Linked DNA regions of Danio rerio. The protein of the gene in region 3 interacts with the protein of the main gene of each other region in a biochemical or structural test. Links are inferred from orthologs where the notes say so. Each region holds a gene or a part of one and is shown on either strand. Other genes may lie near its edges. The genes, in order: s100b, ptpa, maptb, rps6kb1a, cdk1, cdk5 and abl1.

Region 1 (4,592 bases), on a different chromosome or scaffold from region 3:
TTACAGCTTATATTTTTATTACATGCTTGCGATATACTGTAAGGTGTCCTTGAGTGCTTTGAGAGGTGCCTATAAATAAAAGGTATTATTATTATTATTATTATTAATTCTAAAATAAAGCTTTGATTGAAAATTTTTAGGAAGATGTGTGTGAAAAAAAATACTTTATTAAAAGTCAGATATACATGTGTGTGCTATGCAGCTCCTAGATCCATGTTTCATTCGTCCACACTCAATTTCACTCTTATATATATTTTTTTTATTTATTTTAAAATACTTTGACTTTCTGACATTTGTTCACCTTGTGTATTTATCATGTGAAGAAACCCTCAATGTTCATTAAGCATGATCAGACCAGATTTGTGTACATTGGAAACAGTCACAAACACAACAAATGTTTGTAGACACTTGCAATTGACACAATTTCAGCATAATTACAAACCAATTCACATAATTTCAAACCAACTGACAAACAACTTGGCATAATTACAAACAAGGCGCTGCTAATTTTTCAAAACTAAGTATAGTTTGGGAAAAAGAAAGGTTTTAGTAAAAAAAAGTAATGTTTTATCAGTTCGCCCACACTTTACTTCATGAGTTTATTATTGTATATTTTATTATTGTATGTTCATTTTAAAATTCTTAAAGTTTGGCTTTCTGTTTTTTTATGAGAGAAAACATTCATTGTAAGGTCTCATTTATTACCCACAAATACACTAAATTTAAGTACCATGGAAAGATTCACAAACACAATAAATCTGTGTAGATATTAGGCATGGGGCGGTATAAGTTTCTGACAGGATAAAAATACCAGGGTTTTACAGTATCACAGTATTGTGATAACTGCTCTAAAATAAGTTAATTTTAAATGTTTGGGTAAAACTAAAAATCTGAACACAGTATATTTTATTTTAGGAAACATTTATAATATTTTGGAAAAGCAAAAGTCAGGCTAAATAGTTCAAATAAATCATTGACTTCTGCAGTCTTCAATTTTAAAAAACACAGAAAAAATACACTAAACAACCCTGACATATACCTTAGGAACGGTATAACAGAAAATCTTAGCGGTTTTAAAACCTTGACTTTTTCAAACCAAGGCAAACCAGTTATTGTCCTATGCCTAGTAGAAATCATTTTTTCACAACTGACACAATGCTGGGATAAAGCTGTGATAACTAATCAAGCATTCCTAATATTTCAAGACAGTGTAGTGTGAAAAAACAAAAACGTTGACCTCAATACAAGTCTGAAACTACGCAGACACTCGATTAATTTAGTGCTTCCGAAATTTGCCAAAACATTCCTTGAATATTCTTTGTACAGTACTTCATCTTGTTTCGCTTTCATAATTTGTCTACCTTGTACAGAAACATTAATTGTAGGTCATTTTTCAATAAAGGAATATTTCACCCACAAATTAAGGGTTAGAGTTTCTTTCCTCTATTAAACACAAAAGTATTTTGAAGAAAACTGTAAAGTCGTAACCATTGATTTCCATAGTAGGAAAAGCAAATTCTGTGGAAGTCAATGGTTACAGGTTTTCAGCATTCTTCACGATGTCTTCTTTTGTGTTCATCAGAATAAAGAGTCTCATAAAAGGTCTGGAACAACTTGAGGGTGAGTAAATAGAGAGTAAATTATTTTTTGGGGGGGTGAAATATCCCTTTAAGTATAGATGTGTGTACTTTTTTCTGTTGTAAACTGTCAATATGTAATATTTTGACACCCATTTTTCTTCTATTTACACAATTTTTAAAAAGTGTACAGTGAAAAATATCTTTACCTTAATAAAAGTTGAAAAATCAAGCATGAGTGGATATTCAAAGGGACACATCACCCAAAAATGTCAATTTAACTCGCGTGGTTCTAAACTTTTATGAGTTTTTGTCTTCTGTTGAACACTATAAGTTAGTTTGAAGAGTAGTTTGGCAAATTAAAGAATAGTTTGACAACTTAAAAAATAGTTTGACAGCTTGAAGAATAGTTTGACAGCTTGACAGTAGTCTGAAACTTAAAGATAATTTGAAAAATGTTGGAATATTGCCATTAACATCGATAGTAGGAACAAAACATACTATGAAAGTCAATAGCATTTTTCTCCCAACATTCTTCGGTATATCTTTTTATATATATAAAAAAAATAAAAAACACAACCATTAAATCTACATAACTTGAACATTATCAGTTCATTATTGTCATTACGTGATTTTCTTTCCATAAATTTTACAATTTGACACCAGTAATTTGTTACCTTCTGGTCGACTTTGTAAAGAAACATTAATTCCAGAGTTGTTCATTAGGCATGATCATAATAAATTAGTATAAATTTTACACTTTTTAACACAATAACTAGCAAACAAAGATTTTTTTACACAGTTCTGACAATCACTTTATTATAAAACACATATTCCCAAGTTTTCGAATCAAAAACAAAAAAAATTACCTCAGTGAGAGTTGGAAACTCATGCGTGAGCAGCTCCTTGAGTTCACTCTTTTTTAATTTGTACTTGTCTCCTTCTTTCGACGAGTATTTGTGGAAGACTTCAATGATGGTTCCCAGGCAGTTCTCTAAGTCTGACATCTTAATGTGCTGCAGCGACGCTCAACGTTTCCTGGAATAATTACTAAAAATGTGAAAAATGCTTGATAGCAATTTCAAGCTGTTTAACTTTTTCCCTCAAATGTCTGCAAACAAGTTTAAGTGTCGGAGCAATTTTATAGACCATTAAGTTTCGTTCTGTCTTTCACTTTTGCAAACACATTTCTAGTCATTATGTAGTTTTTTTTTTTTTTTTTTTTGCAATTTCATCCTCAGTTTGGAAAAGCTTGGAGCAAAATAAGCTTTAAAAACATTGGAATGATAAATAAAAACGTACTAGACTTACCAGCAGAGAGTTTGTCAGAAAGAGGCGATTCTGCAGAGGGAGATGAGAGTCCATTTATAGGTCTGAAAAGGAGGAGCTTGGAGATTTGAGATTCTGTGCTGTCAATCACTGGATCTGACCAATCAGCTTCTTAACTTGTTCTCACTCCACTAGACACACATTTAAAGTCCAGAACAAAGGGGTGAATATATTCACACACACACACACACTCATAGTGTTACACTTGCGACTTCTGCTATAACATGCATAAACTTTTACTGTAATAATTAATTAGTTTTATGCCATTTTAGCTTAATATTAGAATTTATATTAAGTGTATTTATTGTTTTATCAGTATTTTATTGTCCTTTCATGATTTTCATTTCAAAGTAATCATTTAAAGTAGCCAATTCTGTGCACAAAGGCTGCATTTATTTGATGGAAAACACAGTAATAATTGTGAAATAATATTACAATTAAAAAAAAACTGTTTCCTTATTGATTGTAGTTGTAAATTAGATTTATTCCTGTGATTCAAAGCTGACTTTCCATCATCATTACTTGTCTTTAGTGTCACATGATCCTTTGGAAATATGATATAATATGATGATTTGCTGTTCTGTTATGATCAGCTATTGGTACACAATCACTAATAAGGATTTCGTACAATTATTAGTGATGAATTTTCTTGTCTTCATGTATTGTAGAAAATGTGATATATTTTACATATGGGGATACTTCGATAAAAAAATAAAGTTCTAAATAATAATTCTTAGCACACATAAAATGTTAACAAATCTTACTGTTTCCAAACAGGTTTATTCCAACACAATCTCATGGCAATTCATAACTTTTTGATTTTTGAATCTAATTTGTACAATTTCATATGATTTGCTCATCGCACAATGAAGGTTGGGTTTAGGGGTTGGGTGCCACGCCTCCTTTTTAAAATCACACAATTTCGTATTACTGAACTCGTACGAATCCGTTTGAATTAGCCACTAAACTCACAAAACCTAAAATACTTACGTTTTCTCGTGAGATCAGGCTGTTTATTCTTTTATTTAATGTTTTATTCAGTCCTTTCAGTCTGTTCTCAATACATAAATTTTTTTTCAGGCCATAAGCAAGCTATACGAGTTTATATGCAAAAACAGAACTCAGTTTTTATTCATTTTTTTGTTGCAAAGGTTTTTGCAAATGGATTCTTCAAATGTTTAGTTGTTTTCCTTTTCTATTTTAACAATTTAATTCTTTAATAGTAAAAAGCTTTGTTTTATGATTAATGTGTTTAGCAGCTTGTTGTTTTTCAGTTTTATAAATATCGTATTAAGTGTTCTTATTGTTTGAACAACCCTTTTTTGATGATTCATTGTCCTTTAATTGTGTTTTCCAAATAAAATCATTTTATCTAAACATAAAGTTTGTCTTGTCCTCTCACTTTAGGTTATAAGTAAATATAAAGAGTTAATTTGCCAAAAAAAAAAAAAACAGATACCTCTGTTTTTATTAATTTTCAAAAATCATCTTTTATATTTATGAAAAATACTTTTCTATTTTTGCTAATGAACTTTTTATATTTTAATGTACTCTTCATAAACTCTTCATATACTTTTATATATTTTTCCCTTTCTATTCTGATATGCAAAACATAACTTTTTGTAGAGTCGAAAAATGTGTTTCTGTATAATAAGTTCAATTTAATGATCAGTTTATTGTTGTTTT
Region 2 (4,558 bases), on a different chromosome or scaffold from region 3:
CAAAAAAGAACTGCAAATAAAAATCAAGCAGTGCAAAAACACTAAAATATTTCCAATTTAAAAAAACAACTCTATATATTTGCAAAACATTTTATAGCATTGCCTTTACAAAACCCGTCCAGTCATTTGCAATGCTCATTTTGATTTGCTTGTTAGTCAACCATAAGTTTGCAAAGCGGTTTTCACTTTGCACATCACGCTTCTGCGCGTTTCACTCATAGACTGTGGTTTCACTTTGTGGCCCTGATTTGACAAGGGGCGGAGTCAAGGGAACTTGAGCGTTTACAGCAGACCTGGAAACAATGTACCACCATAGTGTACTACCAAAGTGGTCTTACAGCCCAGGTCTGGGCCCTATATTTTAGCCTATGGTCTGGGCCTGCCATAAACACCCAAGTTCCCTTGTATAGTTTGTTTTTGTAAAGGCATTGCTATAAAAATATTTTACAAAAAAATATATTTTTTTAATTGCAAATATTTTAATTTTTGTGCACTGCTTGATTTTTTTTTGCAGTTTTTTTTGTTTGCAAATTTAATTTTTATTTCTGAAAATTAATTTTCCCTTTTGCAATTCTTTACATTTGTTTGCAAAATTTATTTTTATTTCTTCTTTGCTTTGGAAATTTGCATTTATTAATACTTTATTTGCATTTACTCAATACTTTATTTTTTCTTTGCAAAACTTTATTTTATTTTGCAAGTATATATGGCCCTAGATTGACTCCATAATAATGGGTCATAGATGGAAATAGAACATTTTGAGTGCAGTGGGCTACCTTTGGTCTTCATTTGACTGGCAATAAGGATTGTTTTGTTATGCAAACCTGGCAACCCTGTTACCTGCCTCATCTCTTCTCATCTTTTGCTTCATCTTTCTACTGAAAGATCGATAGGTTTCACTGATAATCTGAAATAGAATCTATTTCTATACATAAAGAAGATACTCTGAAGTAATTTTCACAGTAAACTGTTCAAAACAATACTTAACGTAAGTAAAAGTCTGCATTCCAAGGTCCAGAATACCGTACATTTTCCATTAAAACTACTAAATATATATATATATATATATATATATATATATATATATATATATATATATATATATATATATATATATATATATATATATATATATATATATATATATATGTGTGTGTGTGTGTGTGTGTGTGTGTGTGTGTGTGTGTGTGTGTGTGTATGTATGTTACACACTATATATATTTTTACAAATTCCCCTATCTATTTGGAATCGACAATGCAACGTTGTAGCAGCTATTTTTTTCCACATAAATGTACATGGAGATACATGGTAATAGAAAAATATTAATAACCTTTTACAGTTTTTGTAGAGATAATATATATTTTTAAATGTTTACAAAAATAAATAAAAATACGCAGTTTAGAAAATCTAATGCGATTCCTAAACTTAAAACCGAAGTCACAAATTAAGTATTATATAAAATTATATGGGTTTCAGAAACAGGCACTTTTTTTCTCGCAGCAGTTTACTTTCGCTGATCAAGTTCAAGGAATATATTTGAGGCGAAACTGCGGGTGAGAGTTGAAGGGTTGTGTTTTCATCACCACAGTAAACATGGCGGAGACAGAACAGGCGTCAGGTAACTCACATCAATCAAATCTTCAATTAAACAGAGCTAATTCAAACGCAGAGACCGCAGTGATATGTGGAGATTATAAATGTCGATGTGCAGCACTTGAAGGGACGAAAGGGACTTTACTTGTGCAGAAAAGCGCTTTACTATGGTTCGCCGCGCCTCATGTAATGAATCGATGAGAGTCTGTCACTTCTGCTCGATGGCGAATATTTAGGTTATTACGACTTAAATGTGAACAGTTATTATCAATTTTAGTTTTAAGGTTGTGTAATATATATTTTAGCCACATTTAATCCTTTACTGATCGAGTATTATACTTGGTTAACCCATATGGTAATAAAGAAAAGCATCAAGGTTTCTCAGTTTTAAAAAGTAGGCTGTAACTTACTAATTTACGTTGTTAGCTTCTGTGTATTCATAACCTTTGTCTCTGATAGTGTAACATTAATGAGAGAACAGTTTGTTTGCATTGCCAATTAGGTCACACTACAGAACTTGCAGCCTAGACATTTAATTGGATATTTATTTGTATGCCAGTCTAGTGACACGGTGTTTTGCCATTAAGTTACCAGTTAAAACCCATAAAACGACCAATGTGTAACGTAAATTGATTGACATTTTAGTTTAGTAAACGAGTTGCTAATGCTTACGCTTCCTGTGTACTATTTTTAACATCGAGGCTAAAAAGCTCTTGTCCCTAATGACAAAAAAATCAATTACAGCAGCACATCTCTCTGACATAGGGTAAAAACATTTCCTGAGAAATTGTAATGAAGTGTTGAATCTTTCATGAACACTTTCCTTTCAATTGTCAAAGAACATAATTGTGTGACATTGACAATGAAATAGACTTATCTTGTTTTTTTTTTTGTGATAAAAACTTGATCTGACATAGCCAAAGAAGCTGAATTGTCAATAAACTCAAAATTCTCTCTCCCTCTCTTCTTGTGATGAAAATGACCTAAATCACCTTATCATGGCTAGGCATGGGCTGGTATAAGATTCTGACGGTATGATAAACTTGGATGAAAATATCACAGTTTCATGGTATCATGGTATTGTGATCACTGCTCTAAAACAAGTTATTTTTAAACGTCTGGGTTAGGGGGTTTCGAACACAAATTATGTTTTGAGAATCATTTAAAATATTTTGCAAGAGTACACATGTCCTACTAAAGAATTTAAATGAGTCAGTGACTCATCTTCTTTAGTTTCAAAAGCACAGACGTCTTTACAACTTGAATAAGACATCCTTGGATATCTTTTTTTTCTGTTGTCCAAAAAATAAAGCAAAAACAAAAACACGAAAAAAAAGAGCTGTCATAAACCATAGAAACTATTTAACAGAAAGTTTTTGCAAATTTAAAACCTTGACTTTTCCAAACTGCAAAATACATTGAAACCCATGTTTAATCATGGCTCTTTTCTATGGTTTATAGAGCATAATGATGACTTATATATTTCTTTTATAATATGGATATTGCAGTGGCCAGTTTGACAAAAACAACGGAAACCTCTTAAATATGGCAAGTGTTCTTATCATTTTGACCAGCACTCTGTAACCTAATATTTTGATCATTCAAATTATGATTATTATGATTCTAATATGAAAATTATCAAGTTAACTACTTTTATATATATATATATATATATATATATTAGTATTATACATCTATGATACAGGATGTATAGAATTAATATTTTTGGTTTGAATAAAAAAAACTGGATGTGCTCTTGATATTTTTGTTTCTCACAGGCTCCTCCCATGAGGATGACAAACCTCCCAGTTCTGTCGGTTTCAACTTCATGGTGCCAAAGAAGGAGATCAGCATGGTGCCTGATATGGGCAAATGGAAAAGATCACAGGTATGTTGTTCAACCAACTCTGAAGTTAGTTTATCTGCTGCCTTGAGAGATGGGAAAATAGCCCATTTTCAAGCTCTTTCTCTGGTTTCCCTGGAGTTTAAGGATAATAATAGGAAGCTCTATTGTTTGACACACTTTTCTGCAGCTGGTTGCAGCAGCCACACCATTATGTTTTAAAGAGGCAGTTCTGAAGGATACAATTCAAGAGAAGCTCTCTATAAGTCACTTCTGTTGTTTTTATTTTTTTATACTTGGCATGTTTAAAATGCAGAAATGAAAATCCATGACCTAAAAAGAATGGCTTATTCCTATTCCAGACTTGCGTTGTTGACTTGCATGGGTAAGCCTGTTGAAATCATGCAACCAAATAAGTTCAACCCAAAAGTTTCTAACCTACCATCAATCTTGAGGGTTTTAAAATAGTGCTTTTAACATTCACAATCCCCATTTAATATGTCATGTACACATTGCTAGAACCAGATTGGACACCCATTTTCAACTAGGTTAATGGAAACGTGCCTCTTACATTTTTATCCATATTGATATGAAGGCTTATCAATTAGATTTGTTGGCTGCACATCTGGGATGTGAGTTTCCTCTTCCAGCACATCCAAAAGGTGCTCGATTGGATTGAGATCTGATGACTGTGGAGGAAGTTTAAGTTTATTGAACTCACAGTGATGTTTAAGAAACCAGTTTGAGGTGATTTAGGCTTTGTGACACACTATATTGCTAGAAGTAGCCATCATTAGATGGACACAGTGGTCATATAGGGATGGAGGCGGCCAGCAACTATGATCAGATAGGATTGTATTTAAACTAGGAATGCTGCAATGTGCTGTATAATATTGAATTGTTTGGTACTAACATGGTTCAAAACACATGTGGATATTGCATTAAGATTTACAAATTGTAGTTTAAAATGCATGTTTATGTGCTAAAACATAGCTCCCCCCGCTATAACATCTTATTCCTGCTGTCTGCGTTTTTAATCTTAATCAGTCAACAAAAGAGAATGAAATCACTCACTCTGCTCTTGACTGAATAGCTATATAGCTCAGCAATGATTAACATTT
Region 3 (3,862 bases):
TACTGTGATTTATAGGTTAATATACCGCATCTGTCAGCTGCTCCTATACATTGAGCATGTTTAAATCACAGTATTTACCAAGGTGTACTAAGATCAACCTACTGAACTGGGCAATGAATTCTCAGCATTGTTGTTTATGTCCTCTGTATCCTATATGTTCTCTTAACTTGCTTCCATGTGATCACACAACTTTGACGTGTCAGGAAGGACAGCAGGAGCTGGAGAAGGTATGGTGGACCACCACCCCTTAATCCACCTGCAGCCTAAAAGTTCACAGGATCTACATGTAGACAAATATGCATTGGCCCCATAAACCACCACAAATCATTCACTGCTTGCGCAAACATGCAAAAAATAAAAATAAAAATAAAAATAAAATAAAAACTCAAACATGAGATCTCAAAGGGGATCACTTTATATTTGTTCCAATTAAATGCGTTTATACTGGCTCTATATTGCATCACTGTATCTGAGAAACTAAATGTTTCAGAATAATGAGGCTTTCAAGTAGTTATTATTAAATGCATTAAAAGTGCTTCAAATGCATTCACAGCACAATGCAAAACATGCATTTTACTGCTCAGATCAGATCCAAAAGGTCTATCTGTGCATCAAATGATATTTGCAAGTGGATAGTGCACCAAATCATTGCTTTGCTGGTCATTTTGCTATCAGTTATAAGTGCTTTACACACTGAAGCTCACAGAGATGTTATGGTCCATTGTGGTCTGATTGGCCAGTATATATTGTTTTATTGTTGTTGTTGTGAATGAATGAGTGAAAAGGCACTTTTATAAGCACTGATCTCATAGCCCCTTGACCCTACTGTTCCGATCTCTCATTTTGCCCCTTTAGTTGCCTGTTTTTACAAACAGTTTTGCTTGGTAATACAGATTAGCAAGCATTGCATACATAAAAGTGCTTTTAACTCAAAGTTTAGTGTGTACAACAGATTTTTGGATTGTTTAACTGCCATGAAAACAGACTTGTGTTCTGTGTTGTGTTCAAGCTCCTTATGTGGTTCTGTGCTTTTAGTTCCTTTAAGTTCCTTGATTCCTTTTCTTTCTCTGCTTCTAATGTTGACTGTTGAGAGAGGGTGGTTGAGTGTTGCTAATTCTGCAGTGTTGTCTGTGGCTGTTCCTATAATTCTGCCTTCCACGTCATCAGAAGCCTTAACACCCGGAAGTCCGCCAAAGAGTGGCCGGAGCAGTGCGGCATCAGTGGATGGGGAGGGAGAGCGGGAGAATGGGGAAAGGGAGAGCTCTGTGAGCCCACGGGAGTCTCCAGTGTCGCCACATCCACTCCCGGTAACCCTTGCTGATGGCCTGAGCTCAGGGATCACAGGCTTTGACAGCCAGATGAAGAGAAGTCCTTCGGATAAGATGTCCGACCATCATAGTCCCAGTGGATCTGAAGAGGAGGAACATGAAATGGAGAAATCTGAAAGAAGATTTTCTGGTTCACCTGGATTTGGAGCAGATCCTAGAAGCACTATCAACTTGAAAGAGAATGAAAATGAGGACAAAGAAGTGAGTGAAGTCAGTGATGAAGAAGAGGAACAAACGGGAGTTTCCTTAGTGAGCAGTTCTATCACCCCAGACTTGACAACCCAGAAAGAGGATGAACATGAAACCCCTATTCACCTTCCCATGACCCCAGAAGAAGCTAAGAAACGCGGCCTGTCGTTCGACTACACAGAACCTCAGGATCCTGGTCATCCGCATGGTCCTGTGGGCTGGGAGTGCAGCTCTGATAAAACACCACCGGAAAGCAAGAGCCCAGACTCCTGCAGGGCAGATCCGGGATCACCTCTTACACCCAGTGCTGCCGCTGACCAGACCCAAGAGGAATCATCTCTAAGGGACTTTCAGACAGATACGCAAGAGGAAGAAGAGGAAATAGAGGTACCAGAACAAGAAGAGGAAGAGACCCCAGTTCCTCCATTTTCCCGAGAAGTTGCTACACCAAAGATGGAGCTTAAGGCAGAGGAACATCTAGATTCTAATAAAACAAAGGAGGTCAGTCAGGAGAAATACCTGGAGACGAGTGATGATGACGAAGTAGAAACTGAAAAGGTTAAATCTGTTGCCACACCAGAACCTGTTGTCATACCAGAAAATGCTGCCATACCAGAACCTGTTGCCATACTAGAACCTGTTGTCACTAAAGCTAAAGATGCTGTTAAGCCCAGTGCCGAAGTCCCGCCAACAAAACCACCAAGCAAAGCAGCTCTTGTCAAAGAAGCTCCAGCCAAAAAAACGAAAAAACCCGTAGCTACAGTTTCTGCCACTCCTTCCCCCAAAACTGCTCCTAGCCTTCAGAAAACTCCCTCTAAAGATGCTGCTCCGGCCAGAAAAGCAAGTGTCCCATCCAAAGGTCTGTTTTTCTCTTCTGTCCTTCCAAACCCCACACAGATCTTTTAATTTCCTCTTCCCTTTTCTTCTTTTAAAGTAGATCAGTAGAACTTCGCAGCACCCTTTCTGAAAAGCGCACACTCAAATGAGAACGTGTTCGGTTGAAGAAACGGGCTGCTTGTAGCCACAAAATCTCTCTCTCTCTTTTGATCCTCTGTGCCCTGTGTGTCTGTCTTTTCTCCTTCCCTTTCTGTGTGTGGTCAGTGTTATTCTGCTTTTGTCTGTGACTAACTTTCTGCATTGTGCGTTATTGCTGGCACAGTCTTCACCTGCCCCTTTGTATTGCATGTCACCTGTGCATGAATGTTGAATGTATCACTCACAAAACTGTGCAATTCTTTTGTGGGTATACCCTTATTCCAGATGTGTCCATTTTTTGAAACATTCAAATGGACTCAAAGACCCAAGCTTATGGGGTTTGTCTAGAACACGTTTTGAAAGGAGAAGGTCAGCATTTGCTGTAGGGTTCAAGACAAACGTACTCTAAACGTCCCCTGCAGTTGTGCAGACCTCTCTTATAAAGTATCAGACAAAATCACCTAATATTGTGATGTATTCATTACTGCAGGCCATCACTAGGCAATTTAGCAAGCCAAGTTTGCAAGGCACCACAATTGATACACTATTTCTGAATCATTGCACAAATGTCAATTTTCAATATTAACAAACAAACCAAATAACAAACAAAGAAAATATGCATTTTACTTCATCTTTTATATTTTCAAACATTCAAATCTGACACTGATGATGACATGCTCAAAAAAATTGCTGCTTGTTCAAACTACTTATTTAAAATGAGCGGAAACAACCCACTTCTTGAGATTTCATTAGGACAACTTAATTGTTTTATGTTGATTTAACTTAATTCCTTTATGTTGTCCAAACACAAATTGATACCAAATTGCAGTAAGTGTTCTGTCTCAAATGATTTTGCATATTGAAATGCAGTTGGTCTTGCATAATTCCTATATAAAAAATTTAAATGTCGTCTCTTACTTATAAATATTGCATTAACCACTGCATTTGCTAAGAAAGTGCCAACTTTGGTGTAGTTTCTTGGTGTTGGAAGCCAAAAAAGTGTATTCATGACGATAACAATAACAGCTCTGATGGCACATTTTATTAAAGTTGAAGATTAAGCTAAAAACTCTAACACTACTCTTTTGCTGCCTTGCAAGCACTGGTTTTTAATTCAATACAAGAAAAAGTGACTGTTTGTCCCTGTACAAGGTTAAAATACTCTTCATTCGCTTTACTCTCTGTAATAATAAAACAAGGTACTCTGCAAATCAAACGATGCCAAAAAGCCTTTTAAGAAACAAGTTCAGAAGTTCATCAGAGATTCAAAATTTCTGTCATCACTTTACTGGATTGATCAATTCATGCAGAATTCACAATATATCCCTAAGAAAAGCTAGATTAGGAACTAGTGATGGGTCGTTTTTGAA
Region 4 (3,862 bases), on a different chromosome or scaffold from region 3:
TAGCAATAAGTAACAGATAAGAAATAGAAAAGAAAAAAGAGAATGAAATCAAGAAAGGGGAAGTACAATATTAAATGAAAAAACACAGAAAGCATTAAAGACTAACTTGCTGGAAGCATGATATTTTCATAAGTTTCTATTAACTTGCAAAATTGTTGTTAGATAAACCTATACCTTTAAGCAATTAATCAATTATAATTTAAAAAAATGTGCAAATGAGGGAGAGGATTTAAGACATTTTTGTTTGTGGATAAAGAATTTCGCATAAAATATAAGAAAATATATAAATATATTCTTCATTTTTATTTTTGGGACTAGAATAATAACAATTAATATCTTTCATTTTAAAGATTTGTTTTTTTGATTGTGATTTATTCAAATAATTATGTAAATCTGACCAAAACTTTTGTGAGATTTTAAATGTAAAAAAACACGTGAGTGAAAGTTTCCTCACTTTCCTGACAGAGAGAGCAAGTATCTGCAATATCAGTTAATTCTGAGATAAATGCATTGACTGGGTATATTTTGTGAAGAATTTTAAAATGAATTTTCTTTGCTTTGGGATTACATATTTCTATGGGAGAAGTCATGGCTGAAGTCGTGGCTGTTTATGCCCCATTGACTTCCATTATATTGATATTTTTTTATTCCAAAGTCTTGACACCATATAATCATGCATTTTTGATTGTTGGTGGTTTTCCCTGTTGGGAAGAGGTAAAAATTGTCATTTTCACTGTTGATCATCAGTTGGCAGCATTAAACCTTTAAATAGGCCTGGGCAAAAAAAAGTCTTGCTGTTATATAGAGTTCTATGGAGTAAAACAACAGATTATAGTGTGCGTGTATAAATATACTTACTATGATTACTTTGCCCTGAGAGCAGGGGTGCTTATTTAGATTCTCTCTGACATATCAAGGTAAGTGGGAAGGAAAGGTCTCACAGTAACAGACACACACTATACTCAAGATAAAAGCCAGAAACTTACATTTTTTTGTACTGCAACTGATGATCAACAGCAAAAAATAAAAAATTTGTCTCTTCGCAACAAGGACGCATGCATGATTGTAGGGTGTCATGGCTTTGCAATCAAATAATGTCATTATAATGGAAGTCAACGGGGCAAAAACAACCACTAACATAACGAAAGAGTAGTCAATTTCCCCAGAATGTGTTAACTTTTTGAACATTTTCAAAGCATTTACCCAAAATATGTGTCAAAAATCGTACCATTTGCTGAAACGCAAAGAAACTTGTGGGCAAAGTAGAAGTTAAAATCAGCCCAGAGTAGATGAAAACAATCCTGACAGCACACAAGGGGTAAAAACAAAGTAAACTTTATTGTGAATATTTTAAATATCTCAAGGAGTTGTACAGGGAATACAAACTTAAGTTTACCCCGACTGCATGCTCTTAACATTTAAACCCTTTTACTTTCAGCCCCCGTTCACAGCGGAGAATCGGAAAAAGACCATTGACAAAATCCTGAAGTGCAAACTAAACCTTCCACCGTACCTCACCCAAGAGGCTCGAGACCTCCTCAAAAAGGTAAATCAGTCAATCAGCTTTAGCGAGATATTCAGTCTTATTGCTTAATTAAACTGAGTTTGTGTGTGTGCCTGCTATTTGCATCCAGTTGCTGAAGAGAAATGCATCGGTACGGATTGGAGCAAGTCCTAGAGATGTTCTAGACATCCAGGTATCTGCTTTTCTGATACTTTGAATCTATTAATCATGCATACCTGACATTTACATATATAATGGAGTGTTCTGTATTTTTAAAAGAGCATTTGTTTTTAGCGCCACTCTTTCTTCAGACACATAAACTGGGATGATCTGCTGGCATTCAAAATTGATCCTCCATTCAAACCCTTTTTGGTAGGATCAACTCTCTGCAGATTTCTCTTATTGCTAATAGTCATGTGTTGTGTATGTTGTAATATGTTGTGTTGGATCACATTGCCTCACAGATATATGTTTTTGCAGCAATCCGCAGATGATGTTAGCCAGTTTGACTCAAAGTTCACTAGTCAGACTCCCGTGGACAGCCCTGATGACACGAAGCTCAGTGAAAGCGACAACCAAGTCTTCCTGGTGAGTCTGTGGTACTTTTTAGGCTAAATTTATCTCCGTGTCAACACTATACCTCTGTCGTGTCTCCAGCTGAGTTGCATTTATGTTTGTGCAATCATCAGATCATTTATCTAGAATGGATTTGAGCAGTAGGATGTGTATGTTAGATCAAAGATGTAGTTAAACTGTGATGTTTTCTATTTCTAAACATTTTCAAATTTGATTTATTTCCATGATGATGAATTTGAATATTCTACATAAATTCTCCAGTCTTCAGAGTCACATAATTCTTCATAAATGTTTCTAACGTGCTAATTTGTTTCCCAAGAAATATGGAAAACTTGAAATTTAAATAATTTGTAGCAATTTAATTGTCCTAACCTACTTACTCCCAGGGCCATTTTATATTGAAGTTGATATTTAGCCTCACCATGTTGGTGTTTGGTAGCATCTAGTTTTTATGAAGTGGGTTGTTAGCCCAATGGTCAACCCCCAACCTGGAGGAGCATGGCATACACGCATACACTACATGGGAGACACACTACATACAAACTCCACGCAGAAATGCCAACTGATCCAGCCGGTGCTCGAACCAGCAACCTTCTTGCTGTGAGGTGACAGTGATGTCCACTGCGCCACCGTTTCACCTCAATTTAATTGTCTTTACTTTACGTTATTTTTTTATTTTTTTGAAAATGTAGTTTTTATTGGTTTCCTCTTAATATAACATACAGTACCATACAAAATGCACACAATTTTTTTCACAGTTTAGAAAAATAAACTGTTAAAAAATTAGAAAAAATAATTAGGAAAACAGTAAGAGATGCATAAAGATGATACTAAAGAGCACAACAGGGTAAACACGTTTGTTGTTTAGGTGAAGAAATGAAATTCTCCCATAGATCAACTTTCTTATCAGTGTGTCTTTAAATGTCTTAAATCTCAAAAACAAAATTGTAGGCCTTAAAACATCCTAAACCTACTCACATTATGTGTTGTGGGTCTTAAATCTTTTTTTAACAGGTCTTAATTTTCCTTTGTCCATGTATAGCTACCCAATCAAGGCCATTAACACCCATCCACTCACCAACAATTCATTTCAATAAAACTTTTAACTTTTTGTTTAACTCTATTTACCATGATGGTTGAATTCATTTCCTTTATTTACTGCTGAGGAAGCTGACCTGGACAGATTGTTGTGCATACATAGTTTTTTATAGTTTTTTTAAACCTTCAAAACATTAATATATATATATATATATATTTAAGAAAGGTTATGTTGAAATAATGTGTATGTATACAAATAGAGCTTGCTTGCTTTGACACAATATTTAAAATATTTAACTCAGATTTAACTCAAATATTATTGCATTTATTCAATTAATTAAAAAAAAGTTTGATAGGGCAAATAAACATTTTTTTCCAACTGAGCCATTCGACAAAATCCTTAGCATTTAGCTAATGCTAATGCTAGATAAGTCTAAAATTTAATTCATAATGGTCTTAAAAATGTCTTTAAATGTCTTAAATTTAACCTGTAGAAACCCTACTTATGACTGCCATTCATTTGGGCTAACGACACATTCTCAGTCATTAATTCCATTCATAATTTAAGTAAAGAGCATTGTCTTTCCAAAACCTCAGTATTATACATGCTGCTATAGTTATGCCAACAGTTAAAAGGGAGAACTCGTAACTCAATATGTGGAACTTCAGTTTTATCACCTAAAAGACATATCCTGGGTGAGAGGGGAATATTAAATCCCAGGCCTTCATCTAAATGTCTTAACA
Region 5 (3,679 bases), on a different chromosome or scaffold from region 3:
GATCTTTCAAATTGTTTAGTTGTACTTTTTTAAATTAACTTTATCATATATTGTACCTATAATGTGGCTATTTCACACAGTCTCTCTCATTAACTAGCTTTTACTAACGCAATGTGTAAAGTGTTTTATCGTCACTTTATAATAATTTAGCAATTTAGGGTGTTTATTTTAAATATGAATATACAATACACAATTATTATTTTTTTGTTATAGCTGTTAGAAGTACTTTTTTACAGCTTTGGTCTATCATGATACAGCTTCAGCAGTTAATCGCAACAAGAAAATTTGATACTGGCAGAAGCCTAATACCAGTTGATGATACTTGCTCAAAATGTTATAATCACTAATGCTGACGTGTGTGCGCATGATTATGATTGTGCAGGTGGTCACTCTGTGGTACAGAGCTCCAGAAGTGCTGCTGGGGGCTTCACGCTATTCCACACCTGTAGATCTCTGGAGTATTGGCACCATCTTTGCTGAACTCGCCACCAAGAAACCTCTCTTCCATGGAGACTCCGAAATAGACCAACTCTTTAGGATCTTCAGGTAGACAAAGTTCAGGAATCAGTGTTGACATTTATTTATTTATTTATTTTTTATTTTATTTTTTTTTAACAGAGTTTTAAAAGTATAAAAGAAGTTTGAAAAGGTCAATTAGGGCTGTACTTGGTAACAAACTTATTTGCTCGTGTTAAACTGCACAGACATTAGGGTACAATATTGTATTTATAGTACAACATGTATTCTCTATGATAATATAATTGTTGTATTAGCGCACGTGTGAACATGTTTGAAAACCTTGAAATAGACATTCTCTTTTCTCTCTTACTCATGAAAACAATAATAAGTAAGGGAATATATTAGTAATTTTATAAAAGGGGAAATTATAACAGTAAGAGAAAACTTATAAAATGATAAAGTAACAATAAAGAAATGGTAACAATATTAAAAATGGTAACATTAACAAATAACCAAATAGCTAAAATTAAATCATGAACTAATGGACGATTAATGATAAAATAATCAAATAACATATCTAAATGACAGATAATTATAGATGATTTAATTAAAATATGTATAAATAAAAATAAAATTGAAAATAAAAGAAAGAAAATAAAATGCAACACTAATGTGTAGTTCCTTTCCTGAAGCAACATACACTAGTTCCAATAAACCTCCTCTGATTCTTTGTAGAACTTTTTTAGGAGGTTTTATTATTATCATTTGTAGTAGTTGTTGTTGTAGTTGTATTTTGCTAAGAGTTTTTAGAAGAAGAAAAAAAAAGTAAAATCCCAAAATGGGTCTTTTTTTTTTTTTTTTTTTTTTTTTTTTTTTTTTGTCAATGAAACTGGACCAAGCTTACATGGCATTAAAAATCAACAAATATTTATCTACATGCACATATTATTTTGATATTTGACACTAAGAACACTGATCAATAATCATTTTAACTTAATATAGTCAATATAACAATAGCAAATAACAAATAATAGCATTTTCCAGAAGTCCACTAGAAATCGATACTAACCATATGACTTTGTTTGCTCACATTGCAAGTTTTTTAGTGAACAGTTAATCTGTGCATATCATTATTTAAAAAAAATAGTTTGACCTTATCTTTAATTAAAATCTGAAAATGCACTTCGTTTTTCTTTTTTTTCTCTTCTCTTCAGTTAAATTGTCTGATTATATATATCTTAAGTATTGGGCATAGCTTTAACCACGCTGCTCCAACTGTCAGTTTTGACAACAAATGGTGAGGATGAGGTGTCTGTTAGGTAGTAATAACTCTCTTCTAAAACCCATTTCCAGATCTTTCTGTATGAAATGCTTATTTTATTACATCTACTCCGCTTGAAGCAACAATAAGTGAAGTTTCACAAACAAATTTCGAGAGGAGCACGTGATGTGATTGATCGCAGCTGGTCTCTCATCTACAATCATTAGTTAGCAAATCAGATTAATCCAAACTTACTATAAGTAGGCCAGCAAAAAAATACTTCCTTATCTTCCTTTTTTCAAAGAAACCCCCCCCCCCATCCACCCCTTCTCCCCCTTTCCTCCTTTACCACGGGGAGCTATCGAGAACCACCTGATCTCGTACTCCCCTTACATGCTCTATCGACCAGGCGGGAGCCCTGGGCTCAGTTATTGCTGAGCTCAGGGTTCTTTCCTGGGACAGCATGCCAAACCTGCTATCATTGTCAAACAATATCTAAGTGTGAACTCTTGAAAACAAAAATATGATTGCAGCTTCTGGTTCATATGGACTTACTGGCATACAAATAAAATATGGCTTTAATGTAGTTTTGTAAACTGGAATGCAAACATTTCACTAAAAATATAGTATTTTTCTTTTTTTGTCTTCCCTCTCTGTGGTTGATCTGTGTTTTAGGACTCTGGGGACCCCTAACAATGAGGTCTGGCCAGATGTTGAGTCTCTGCCAGACTATAAGAATACCTTCCCAAAGTGGAAATCTGGGAATCTGGCCAACACTGTGAAAAACCTGGACAAGAATGGCATCGACCTTCTCATGGTAAAAGACTGTCCTGATATGCTTGTGTCCTACTTGTTTCTTTGTGTTCATCTCACTCACGTATTTTCATTTTCTCCTTTGTTTAGAAAATGCTGATTTATGACCCCCCTAAGAGGATTTCGGCACGACAAGCAATGACACATCCGTATTTTGACGATTTGGATAAGAGCAGTCTTCCAGCCAGCAACCTAAAGATATAAACACAAACACATGCATACTAAAGCAAGCAATGTGAGCGTAGGGCTCACGGTGAATTCTGGGAGTTCAGAGAGCCCGGAGATGTAGATTTACTCCTCCAACCTGCAGTAATGCAATCCGAGTCTTTTGACACGCAATAATCAACCTTCAGTTTGTTTGTTTGTCAACTGGGTGGTTTTTCCTAATTTTGTTTGTTTTTTGTATGTCTTTTTCTATCCTGTTATATGTTACATAATACCCCTTGTAAATAAAGCGTGTATTTTTTGTCGACCTGAAGTGGTATATAAAAAGAATAAATTAAGGTGTTCCCAATTAAGAGCACTTTGTAGGATCCCATTTTGGGCCGATGTCTTTATCTACACTAATGCAGATATTTTTACATTGTGTTTAAAGTGGGTGTTTTTCTAGAGATGCTCAAAATTATTACAAACAATTATATATTTAAGATGTTTACATGTACATGTTATTTTGATCTTTTAAAGGCACAAAGAACACTGATCAAAAATCATTTTTAAATTGCTTCTATTTTGTTTTACTTGATAATGACAAAAACACGTAGTAATTGATAACATTTTCCAAAAGTGCCAGATAAACATACTGGCATACAAATAAAATATGTCTTTTATGAAATTTTAAAAGACGCACAAAATGCTAATTATCGTGGTTAATAGTATTATGCAATATCTGTGGTGCAGAGAAGTGTGATGAATGGATTTCTTTATGCCAAGCATTTGTGTGTTGCAAATTACCTCCAATTAAATACACAATTAAGAGTAACTCATTTTCTGATGACGTGACCCATGTTGTTTAATCTCGAGCCCTGTCACAAACACAGCTTGTTTTAAGCCAGCCTATGCTTGATGAAGTTCCAACGAAAACTCTTGTGCTGGTGATCCTAATGTGAACAGACGCTATCTATAGAGGATGAGAGAGCGCTCAGATTT
Region 6 (4,478 bases), on a different chromosome or scaffold from region 3:
AAAGCTGAATTTTTAATTTATTGTTTTTGTGTTTTTAAAGGCTGGAACACATCTGGAATTACTGAGCAAAGGAGGATTGTATGCAGAACTCATAAAGAGACAACGATCTAATGGACATAAATAAAATACTGTACTTAGTATATGTCACTACAAGTTATTTTGAACACAGAAATTCATTTGGTGCTCTGTCATATTGTAGCATATTGAATTTTTTTTAAAAGAAAGTTCTGTGTGTTTAGTTTTATCATCATTGTAAAATCAGTGTTGGTAAACAGTTTTTAAATAGTGTTTTTATTTCCCTAAACTCCAGACTGAAAGTATTTGAACCTTTTCTTTTTTAAATGAAAAGATTTTAGTGAGATGAAATGTACATTTTATTTTGAAAAATGTATCTGTTAATATCATTGTGTTGATAATCTTGTTTTCCTTGAAAATTAAGGTATAATAAAATTAAATATATTCTTCTGCATTCACATTGGTTACCATTTCCATTTTTAAATTACACACAAGTAATTAGAGATATTAAATATTTTATTTAGAATGCTTTTTTTAATTACTGTTGATATTGTTATACTAACGTGTTTAATTATTTAAATTAAATTAACAATAAAGAAGAGCATAGATTTGATCAGCTTTAGCATCGATTTTTACTAATTAACATTTCTCTTTTTTTTTTGTTATTTAGAGGTTTAGATTTAAATATTTTAATACTGAAGTATTTACTTATTTAATTTATTGTAGCATTGAGTAAGAGCATAGGTTAGATACGTTTTATTAGCATATATTCTTTTACTAATTGACATTTCTTCCTAAATTTTTTTGTCTAGTTTTTCGAAATATTATACATTTTTAGACAACAGAATACCACCATTTTAACAATGTTAGATCTTATGCGACACAGTGTTGTAAACGCGCTAGTAAATGTCAAAAATGTTGACACTTTATTGTAACATTTGTTTTAAGAGACATGATTATGAAAATAACATCATGATAAAAGATAAAAATTAATTTGGGTGTTATCGGAAAGTAAAAAGAACATTTTAAAGGAGTTAATACTTCGACCAGAAGTATTTGCACACAGACTTTTATTTCCAGCCAGCCAGCCCCAGGGCTTCCAGTGAGCTGTCTTTCCATTATAACTATCGCCACGTTTTTTATCTGATTTCTTTAAAAATCTTTTTTTTTTTACTGCCTGGTTGAGATAAAAAGTGGGTCTCAGACCAGACAAGAAGCACTGAATCAATTCAATTTTCCTCTGCCATGTCTTTTAAATAAAACTGTTTATTTTACCTCAGTATTTTTCAATTGAGTTTCAGCGCTCACCTGCTAATCCTGATTGTGCTAGCGGTTATATAGTCTTATCTTGTTTTACACTTGAACAACTAAATGAAAGCTTAAGTCTATTTAACTGAATGTATTTTAATGACATTGCAACATATATGCTGTAAAAGGAACCGTATGGCATTAAAAATAGTCATATAAAGCTTTCACCGGAAGTTTATGATTGGCTGCAGCTAAACCCGATCTGGTACTTTTATTTTGAAGCGCGTCTCAGCGGGTCGCCATCTTGTAGCTCTGCTCTCTTCATGTTGCGTACTACGCCCCTTGTTGATAAAAAACGACATTAATCAGCGGTACAATTAAACCCCTGCTTATTAATTCGTAGAAAAAACGAGCAGCCAGGACGTTTTAATAACTGGCTGAAACCATGCAAAAGTATGAGAAGCTGGAGAAGATAGGAGAGGGTGAGTAAAGCACTGTCTGGCCTGAATGTCTGAAGCTAACGATAAATTGGAGATTTATTTATACACCACTAACAATAACGAAGGTTTGTTGTCATAAGACGTCAACCGTCTGTCAATCTGCAAAGCATTTGTGCCTTTATGTGCTTGTGTACTGAAGCCTAAAAGTCTTAATCTGTGGAGATCGAGCTCATTTTGATGCAGCTGGCTTTGAATCGGATAAATCAGCACACCTTTCACACCTGCTAAATGACATTATCGCTGTTATTGAGAGAAATAGAGCTGGTAAAGTGATGATTTGTTATCCCGTTGATTGATATTTCATTTTAGCAACATTAACAGGGTTTTCTTTGATCCAGCAAATGCTGGTAGCCATGATGAAACGTAAAGTGTGTTTTCCTCTAGGGGGCGCGCGAGGGCTTAAAATAGGCTTTTCTCCTTTTGAGTTGTATTTACATCATAAAACAATATTTAGATTTTTTTTGTGAAGAGTCCTGTAATGAAAAGTTACCAATAGAAATATATGAATAAATATGGGTCAAATATTTCAATTAAATAAAACCAACCATTCAATCATATACGACAGTGATTGGTCTGCACTGATATTTGATGAGAAGGGTAATATATACCACGTGGTTCAAAAGGTTAAAAGTTACAATTATTTTAATAATTCTTTATAATAATTTCTACACAATTTAAATGACAGTTTTTATCAGGTTGCGAATCACAGGGAAGTTTGGGGAGATAGACCCCCCTAATTGACCACTGAAGAAGGTCAAAACAAGATGTATAGGGGGATCAGTTCTTTAACACTGAGAAATATTTCACTCTAATCTGTATTTTAAATAATAATGTTAATAATTAAAATAATAGATAATATAAATATAGATTTGACCACCCCTATAATGGTTCAAACCATTGTTAATGCATAATTGCGCCAATCAATTGCATCTATTTAAGAAGAAAGTCTTAAAGCGGCAGATCTAGAGCACCAATAGACATCATGTTCACCACACTTTGTTTTCTCATAAAAAAGATGTTGTATCTATATTTAGCCTGAAAATAAAATCAAATTCGATGCATTGTTTGTAGTTTAACCTTCAGTAACATCTGAAACAGCTAATCAGAGAATACTGTCGATCAGAATACACTAAATATCCCTCAAAACGCTGAAAGCTTAAATGCATTTTATCAATAAGCTAGATGTAATTAAAAATATTTTTTATTTATGTATTTGACATGGACATCACAATTACACTGGACAACCAAATGCATTTGTTTAAGTGTTTTAGCAAACTTGCTAATTCTCAACACCTGTCCACAGGAGGCTTAAAATTGACAAAATAGAAATATAATAAAACATACATAACATTACATTTCTTTACATAAAATTACTGCAGGAAAAAGCAAAGGCGACATGATCCAACTAACTAACGATAGACTATTTGTGCAAACACTGCTGTTTTGTTTTTATCCACTTTTTAAGAGCACTACTAAAAATATTTAGATTACTTTCTGCTTTAAAACTAACCGGTAAATCATAATATATTAACATTATTATTATTAGCATACATAAATTACTGAAGCGTGTATTACACAAACTAACAACTGACAAGCAGTTGAGCCTCCTGGTCGTCAATGTATAATTTGCACAGTTCTTTATCCCCCTAAACCACGCATTTGTTTTATTTTTATTTAACAGTTGTTCTGCGATAAATGTAAAATATGGTGATTATTATGATCATATATTTGTCATCTATATACATATTAGAAGGACATTTTTAATTTTGTAGAGAGTTGTGTGATAAAAAGTTACTAATAGAATTATATGAGTTAATATGGGTCACATTCAATCGAATAATACTAACCAATCAATCATAAAACGACAGTGATTGGTCTGCACTGATATTTGATGAAAGGGGTAACATACCATGTGGTTCACAAGGTTGAAAGTTACAATTATTTTTATAATTCTTTAGCATAATTTCTACTCAATTTAAATGAGTTTTTATCAGTGTGCAAATTACAGGAGAGTTTGGGGCGTTTGATGTGATTGGTAACGTGTACCGCCATTATTTAGTTTTTTTTTTACATAATTAACATCAAATTGAAATGGCAGTACAGGGTTCAACGCTATAGATTTTTTCTACAGGTCCGATCGGGCCAGTGGTTCAGATTTTTACTTGCCCTGGCAAAATTTTCACTGGCCCCACCAAAAAAAGGGAAGTTAATAGCTATTTTTTGCCACGTTTTAAATAATGTGTCAAAAAAAAAGTCTGTGAATCTACAATTTTAATACTTAAAATAAATTGTAAATAAAAGTGTTATGCAAACAAAAAGAGCAGTACAGAAAATGTTAACAAAAGGTGGCCGACTTGTCAAACTGGCGGCAAACTGTGCAAAACATCACTTCATTTTTATTTTGTCGTGTTCGTCACACGTAAATGTCTACTTCCAAGACTTTAGAAACAGACATTTTCTTTTAGCCTTATAATTTGATGTTGCCGCCATGTTGCCGTTTCTTCGCTGTACTGGTTTTTAACAGGTTACAGAAACAAAATATCATGGTCAATCAGATAAGAGGAACCGGAAAGCAATATGGTGTTTATGACATCACAGAGAAGGTAGTGTTTAAAAACCTAAAAGCACAAAATTAAAATGCACATGATTTACATAGTCGCAGACAAATTAAATGTTAGTGACATCCGGTCTACTGTCCCAAGTGTCTCTCAAGCT
Region 7 (4,426 bases), on a different chromosome or scaffold from region 3:
TGTGTGTGTGTGTGTGTGTGTGTGTGTGTGTGTGTTGATCATTCTCTCAACCTGAAGAGTGCTGGAGAAACACACATTGACTTTCATCGTCTTTATTCCTGCTATTGAAGGCAGCGGCAGCATTCTTCAGAGTATCTTATTTTGTATTCGACAGAAGAAACCCATAGGTGTTTAGAAGCAGAGCAAATGAGGATTAGGGTGGAACGGTGGCTCAGTGGTGTCGCACTGTGTGCTCACAGCAAGAAGGTCTCTGGTTTGAGTCTCGGCTGGGTCAGTTGGTGTTTCTGTGTGGAGTTTGCATGTTCTCCCCGTGTTGGTGAGGGTTTCCTCCGGGTGCTCCGGTTTCCCCCACAGTCCAAACACATGCGCTATAGGGGAACTGATCAACTACACTGGCTGTAGTGTATGAGTGTGTGTGTGTGAATGAGTGTGTATGGGTGTTTCCCAGCCCTGGGTTGCAACTGAAAGGGCATCCGCTGTGTAAAACACATGCTGGAATAGTTGGTGATTCATTTCACTATGGCGACCTCTGATATATAAGGGACTAAGATGAATTAAAATGAAAGTAGATCTCTATTTCTGTGTGAACTGACCCCTTAAGTGTGTTTCTGACGCTGCTCTGTGTGTTTATTCCACCAGGGGGCTTCAGTGATCACACAACTACAACTATAGAGCAACGCTTCTGCAACCTTCAGCAGTAATGCACTTATTATAAAGAGCAGATTTATTTAATTGCTGTAAATTATAACCGTATAATTATGTATTTATGTGCTGACATTATGATGTGCTTTAATCAATGATGGTTGTTTTTAAATGTGCTATGTAAATACAATCGAATTTAATATAGTTGTATAATAATATATACTAATAGAATAAATATTATTGATATTTAAGACAGTAAAACTCAACGCTGTTGCATCAAATTAAAGCTATTTTGGAGTTTGTTGAAGTATTTTTGTATTAATAGATTATTGAAATAAATATCAATCAGGTATAATTTAGTATGATTCAGAATGATGTTATATTAATATATAATATTATTTAATAATATTGTTGAATTAGAGAATCATAAGTCATATACACTTTAAGTTTGAAGTCTTTAATTAGGAATGTTAAAGAGAGCATTAATCTTACAGTTTTGTATAATATATGTTTTCTGCGTACAGGAACCGCAGCGTTTTTATTTTTAACTGTTTATTATTATTTATTCATATTAGAGACAACAACAATAGGTAAACACTTCTTACAAGGCGTTCACATCAAAACAAAATACAAGTTTTCGCTTGTTGGCGGAAGAGCGCGGCGCGTGACGTCACGGGCGCAGCTCGCGTGCGCGAACATGGCGGTTCCTGCGACGACGAACGACGCGAAGAAAAGTGCTGGAAGTTATGAAATATTACTAAAACATGACGAGAACCAGCATTAAAACACTGCGGGGGAACCGAGCGGGTGTCCGGTGAGCAGAAGAGCCCGACAGCGGAGACACGCGGCGGGTAGAGGAGCGTTTAAATCCGCCTCAGAGAGAGAGAAGTGCACGCGGAAGTGACGAGACTTTACCAACTAACCAGAACTCAACACCACAGCCAAAGGCAAGAGTTAAATCTGCACAGAAGAGCCTGGAGGGCTTCAGTGAGATCCACACACTTTATTCATGACTTTAATGAGCATCAGGAGATACAAACACGGTCTCATCTGCTTACTGAATGACACCACGATCACACCAAACGCGTTTACTGCACTCCCAGACTCTTCCAGTGGCTAATAATTATCATAATAACTCTAATAATGATGATCATTGAGAGTTTCACGCACACCAGAGCGTCTGAGTTCATCACTGACCCCTCTGATGTGCTGATATCTTCTCCTTTGAGAGTTTGATGTTGACGTGACGTCAGAATGATTGACAGCTCGTCAGCAGTGATGTTCATGCATTAATGCTGACTCTGTGAATGAGGATGACTCCTTCATACATCCCACAGTGCCTTAGAAACACTTCTAACCTCTAGAAGGCGGGGATCTGATCTGCGGTCAGGCTGGCACATGCATGACTGGCACAGGGGAGTGTGTGTTTTCAGGCTCCTCCAGCTGATCTCCTGCGCTGTGTGTTCTTATGGGGCAGCAGCCAGGAAAGTTAGTGGGTGAGCAGAGGAGACCGAGCCTGCCGGCACTGCCCTTCATCAAGGCCGCGGGGAGGAGAGAGACGCCCCGGCACGGAGCACCGCACTGCAATGTGTTCACGGTCCACGGTCAGTGCCAGATCCAGCACACCACATTCACTCATCACTCAAGGGGGCAGTTCACTCACGAATGATCAGTAGGGAACATTTAGGATCAGGGGGAGGCCAAGCCAGCCTGAGATCCCCGAGGCTCTGCAGTGGTTGTGGAAATTATAAATTGAACCAAAGCAATTATAATTGGGTTAAGATTGGCTATGACAATTCTGGAAAACCAGCAGAGCCTTGGAATTAATAATACAATTAATAACATTGAGGCCTTGATCACACTGAATGCACTTTTAATGGTGCGAGGTGCCTTTTTTGAATGGTTATAAATTGGTTGTGAGTGTTTGTGCACTGCTTAGGGGCCGTTCACACAGAATGCATTTTCTTTCTGTATAGTGCACTACTATACTATTGTTTTTCAATGTAAACACACGCTTGACGTACGTGTCTGACTGCTACGTTGCATCTTTTGAAGCATCTCGTTTTTTTAAACGCCATGTCTGGTTGAGAGGTCTTCGACTTTCACACACAGCACAGTCAGTTCCACAGCAGTGGACCAATCAGAAGAGTGCTTGGGTGTTGCAAGCTTCAGTTTATAGTAGAAAGTTGGCATGATAACTCTTATTTAGCTTTATGGCAGAGGAGGCGCTCATTCTGGCTGTGTCCAGATTAGGCATGGGACGATATCCGTGTTCAATGTGTACCGTGGTTTTGAAAAGTCAGGGTTTTAAATTCGTCAAAATTTAAAAGATAAATATTTTAAAGATTTTTTATTTACATTTTTTTTTAGGACAACAGTATCTCCAGCAGTAAAGATCTCCAAAGACACTGTTTTAAATAGTAAAGAAATCAGTGCTTTTGAAACTAATGAAGACAGCAGAAGTCAATAATTCACGTTTACTGCTCCAAAATACTTGAAATGTTTCTCAAATTGAAATAAATTGTGTACAAAGAGGAAAAAAGTTTTCTATCCCGACTTTTAAAAAGAATATATTTTAGATAGGAGTTTCAAAATTAATTGTTTCTTCAGTCCACCACGAAGCAAATGCAGACAATTCAGAACATCAGAAAGATCCAGCTAACTCTATCAAGCCTCTTCAGCTGCTCCAGAACGCAGCAGCACGAGTGGTCTTTAATGAAGCTAAAAGAGCACATGTCACTCCGCTGCTCATCCGTTTGCACTGGCTGCCAGTTGCTGCTCGCATCAAATTCAAAGCTCTGATGTTTGCTTACAAAGCGACTTCTGGCTTTGCTCCTTCTTATCTGCTCTCACTTCTGCAGATGTATGTGCCCTCCAGAAACTTGCGTTCTGTGAATGAACGTCGCCTCGTGGTTCCATCCCAAAGAGGGAAGACATCACTTTCCCGAACTCTCACGCTCAATTTGCCCAGTTGGTGGAATGAACTCCCTAACTGCATCAGAACAGCAGAGTCACTCGCTGTCTTCAAAAAACCACTAAAAACTCAACTATTTAGCCTTCACTTCCCTTCCTAATCTGCAAGTGCCTCTCTGGATATAACGCTAACTGTACTAAAAAATAAATAATAATAATAATAATAAATACTAATGCTTTCCTTCTTATACTTTACAGACCTGAAACTTGCCTACAGCACTTATTCATTGTTGCTCTTATAGTTGTGTAAATTGCTTCCTTGTCCTCATTTGTAAGTCTCTTTGAATAAAAGCGTCTGCTAAATGTAAATGTAAAATTTGGTATCGGTTGAGTAATAATCATAACCGCTTACTATATACTGATGTCATTTATCTCATTTGCACTATGTTTTGTAGCTTACTATGGCGAGGGAGGCGAGCGCGAGTATTTACTACGCTCCAACTACTTAAAAACGCAGAAACTGTGCACAAATTTGACTGCGTGTGTGTTTGCTGGACAGTTTCCCTGACACTTACAGCAGAAGCTCCATTTCACTGCCATTGAGAGAATGAAAGTAAACTCCATTTCTCTCTCTCTCTCTCTCTCTCTCTCTCTCTCACTCTCTCTCTCTCTCTCTCTCTCTCTCTCTCTCACTCTCTCTCTCTCTCTCTCACTCTCTGTCTCTCTCTCTCACTCTCTCTCTCTCTCTCTCTCTCTCTCTCTCTCTCTCTCTCACTCTCTCTCTCTCTCTCTCACTCTCTCTCTCTCTCTCTCACTCTCTCTCTCTCTCTCTCTCTCTCTCTCTCTCTCTCTCTCACTGTGGCCCATTTGA

Evidence for each region.
Region 1: the proteins of maptb (region 3) and s100b form a complex in vitro, tested with the Homo sapiens proteins (2 studies listed by BioGRID). The link is inferred for Danio rerio from reciprocal best matches to the Homo sapiens genes MAPT and S100B.
Region 2: of the proteins of maptb (region 3) and ptpa, one has a biochemical effect on the other in vitro, tested with the Homo sapiens proteins (2 studies listed by BioGRID). The link is inferred for Danio rerio from reciprocal best matches to the Homo sapiens genes MAPT and PTPA.
Region 4: of the proteins of maptb (region 3) and rps6kb1a, one has a biochemical effect on the other in vitro, tested with the Homo sapiens proteins (2 studies listed by BioGRID and IntAct). The link is inferred for Danio rerio from reciprocal best matches to the Homo sapiens genes MAPT and RPS6KB1.
Region 5: of the proteins of maptb (region 3) and cdk1, one has a biochemical effect on the other in vitro, tested with the Homo sapiens proteins (2 studies listed by BioGRID). The link is inferred for Danio rerio from reciprocal best matches to the Homo sapiens genes MAPT and CDK1.
Region 6: of the proteins of maptb (region 3) and cdk5, one has a biochemical effect on the other in vitro, tested with the Homo sapiens proteins (10 studies listed by BioGRID and IntAct, with this or other methods). The link is inferred for Danio rerio from reciprocal best matches to the Homo sapiens genes MAPT and CDK5.
Region 7: of the proteins of maptb (region 3) and abl1, one has a biochemical effect on the other in vitro, tested with the Homo sapiens proteins (2 studies listed by BioGRID). The link is inferred for Danio rerio from reciprocal best matches to the Homo sapiens genes MAPT and ABL1.

Annotation. Positions count from the first base shown.
Region 1 is NC_133197.1:13,547,811-13,552,402, forward strand, and holds the start of s100b (protein S100-B), read right to left. Parts: upstream 2,921-4,592; 5' UTR 2,889-2,920; intron 2,616-2,888; 5' UTR 2,585-2,615; coding exon 2,447-2,584; intron 1-2,446. UniProt on the Homo sapiens protein: Small zinc- and- and calcium-binding protein that is highly expressed in astrocytes and constitutes one of the most abundant soluble proteins in brain.
Region 2 is NC_133180.1:33,431,398-33,435,955, reverse strand, and holds the start of ptpa (serine/threonine-protein phosphatase 2A activator), read left to right. Parts: upstream 1-1,535; 5' UTR 1,536-1,594; coding exon 1,595-1,619; intron 1,620-3,372; coding exon 3,373-3,482; intron 3,483-4,558. UniProt on the Homo sapiens protein: PPIases accelerate the folding of proteins. It catalyzes the cis-trans isomerization of proline imidic peptide bonds in oligopeptides. Acts as a regulatory subunit for serine/threonine-protein phosphatase 2A (PP2A).
Region 3 is NC_133178.1:20,914,265-20,918,126, reverse strand, and holds part of maptb (uncharacterized protein maptb), read left to right. Parts: intron 1-203; coding exon 204-227; intron 228-1,167; coding exon 1,168-2,376; intron 2,377-3,862. UniProt on the Homo sapiens protein: Promotes microtubule assembly and stability, and might be involved in the establishment and maintenance of neuronal polarity.
Region 4 is NC_133185.1:33,095,769-33,099,630, reverse strand, and holds part of rps6kb1a (ribosomal protein S6 kinase beta-1), read left to right. Parts: intron 1-1,438; coding exon 1,439-1,546; intron 1,547-1,634; coding exon 1,635-1,697; intron 1,698-1,798; coding exon 1,799-1,876; intron 1,877-1,984; coding exon 1,985-2,092; intron 2,093-3,862. UniProt on the Homo sapiens protein: Serine/threonine-protein kinase that acts downstream of mTOR signaling in response to growth factors and nutrients to promote cell proliferation, cell growth and cell cycle progression.
Region 5 is NC_133192.1:22,204,102-22,207,780, forward strand, and holds the end of cdk1 (cyclin-dependent kinase 1), read left to right. Parts: intron 1-382; coding exon 383-546; intron 547-2,395; coding exon 2,396-2,537; intron 2,538-2,623; coding exon 2,624-2,737; 3' UTR 2,738-3,071; downstream 3,072-3,679. UniProt on the Homo sapiens protein: Plays a key role in the control of the eukaryotic cell cycle by modulating the centrosome cycle as well as mitotic onset; promotes G2-M transition via association with multiple interphase cyclins.
Region 6 is NC_133199.1:37,959,756-37,964,233, reverse strand, and holds the start of cdk5 (cyclin-dependent kinase 5), read left to right. Parts: upstream 1-1,569; 5' UTR 1,570-1,708; coding exon 1,709-1,745; intron 1,746-4,478. UniProt on the Homo sapiens protein: Proline-directed serine/threonine-protein kinase essential for neuronal cell cycle arrest and differentiation and may be involved in apoptotic cell death in neuronal diseases by triggering abortive cell cycle re-entry. Interacts with D1 and D3-type G1 cyclins.
Region 7 is NC_133180.1:78,512,122-78,516,547, forward strand, and holds the start of abl1 (tyrosine-protein kinase ABL1), read left to right. Parts: upstream 1-1,316; 5' UTR 1,317-2,110; coding exon 2,111-2,246; intron 2,247-4,426. UniProt on the Homo sapiens protein: Non-receptor tyrosine-protein kinase that plays a role in many key processes linked to cell growth and survival such as cytoskeleton remodeling in response to extracellular stimuli, cell motility and adhesion, receptor endocytosis, autophagy, DNA damage response and apoptosis.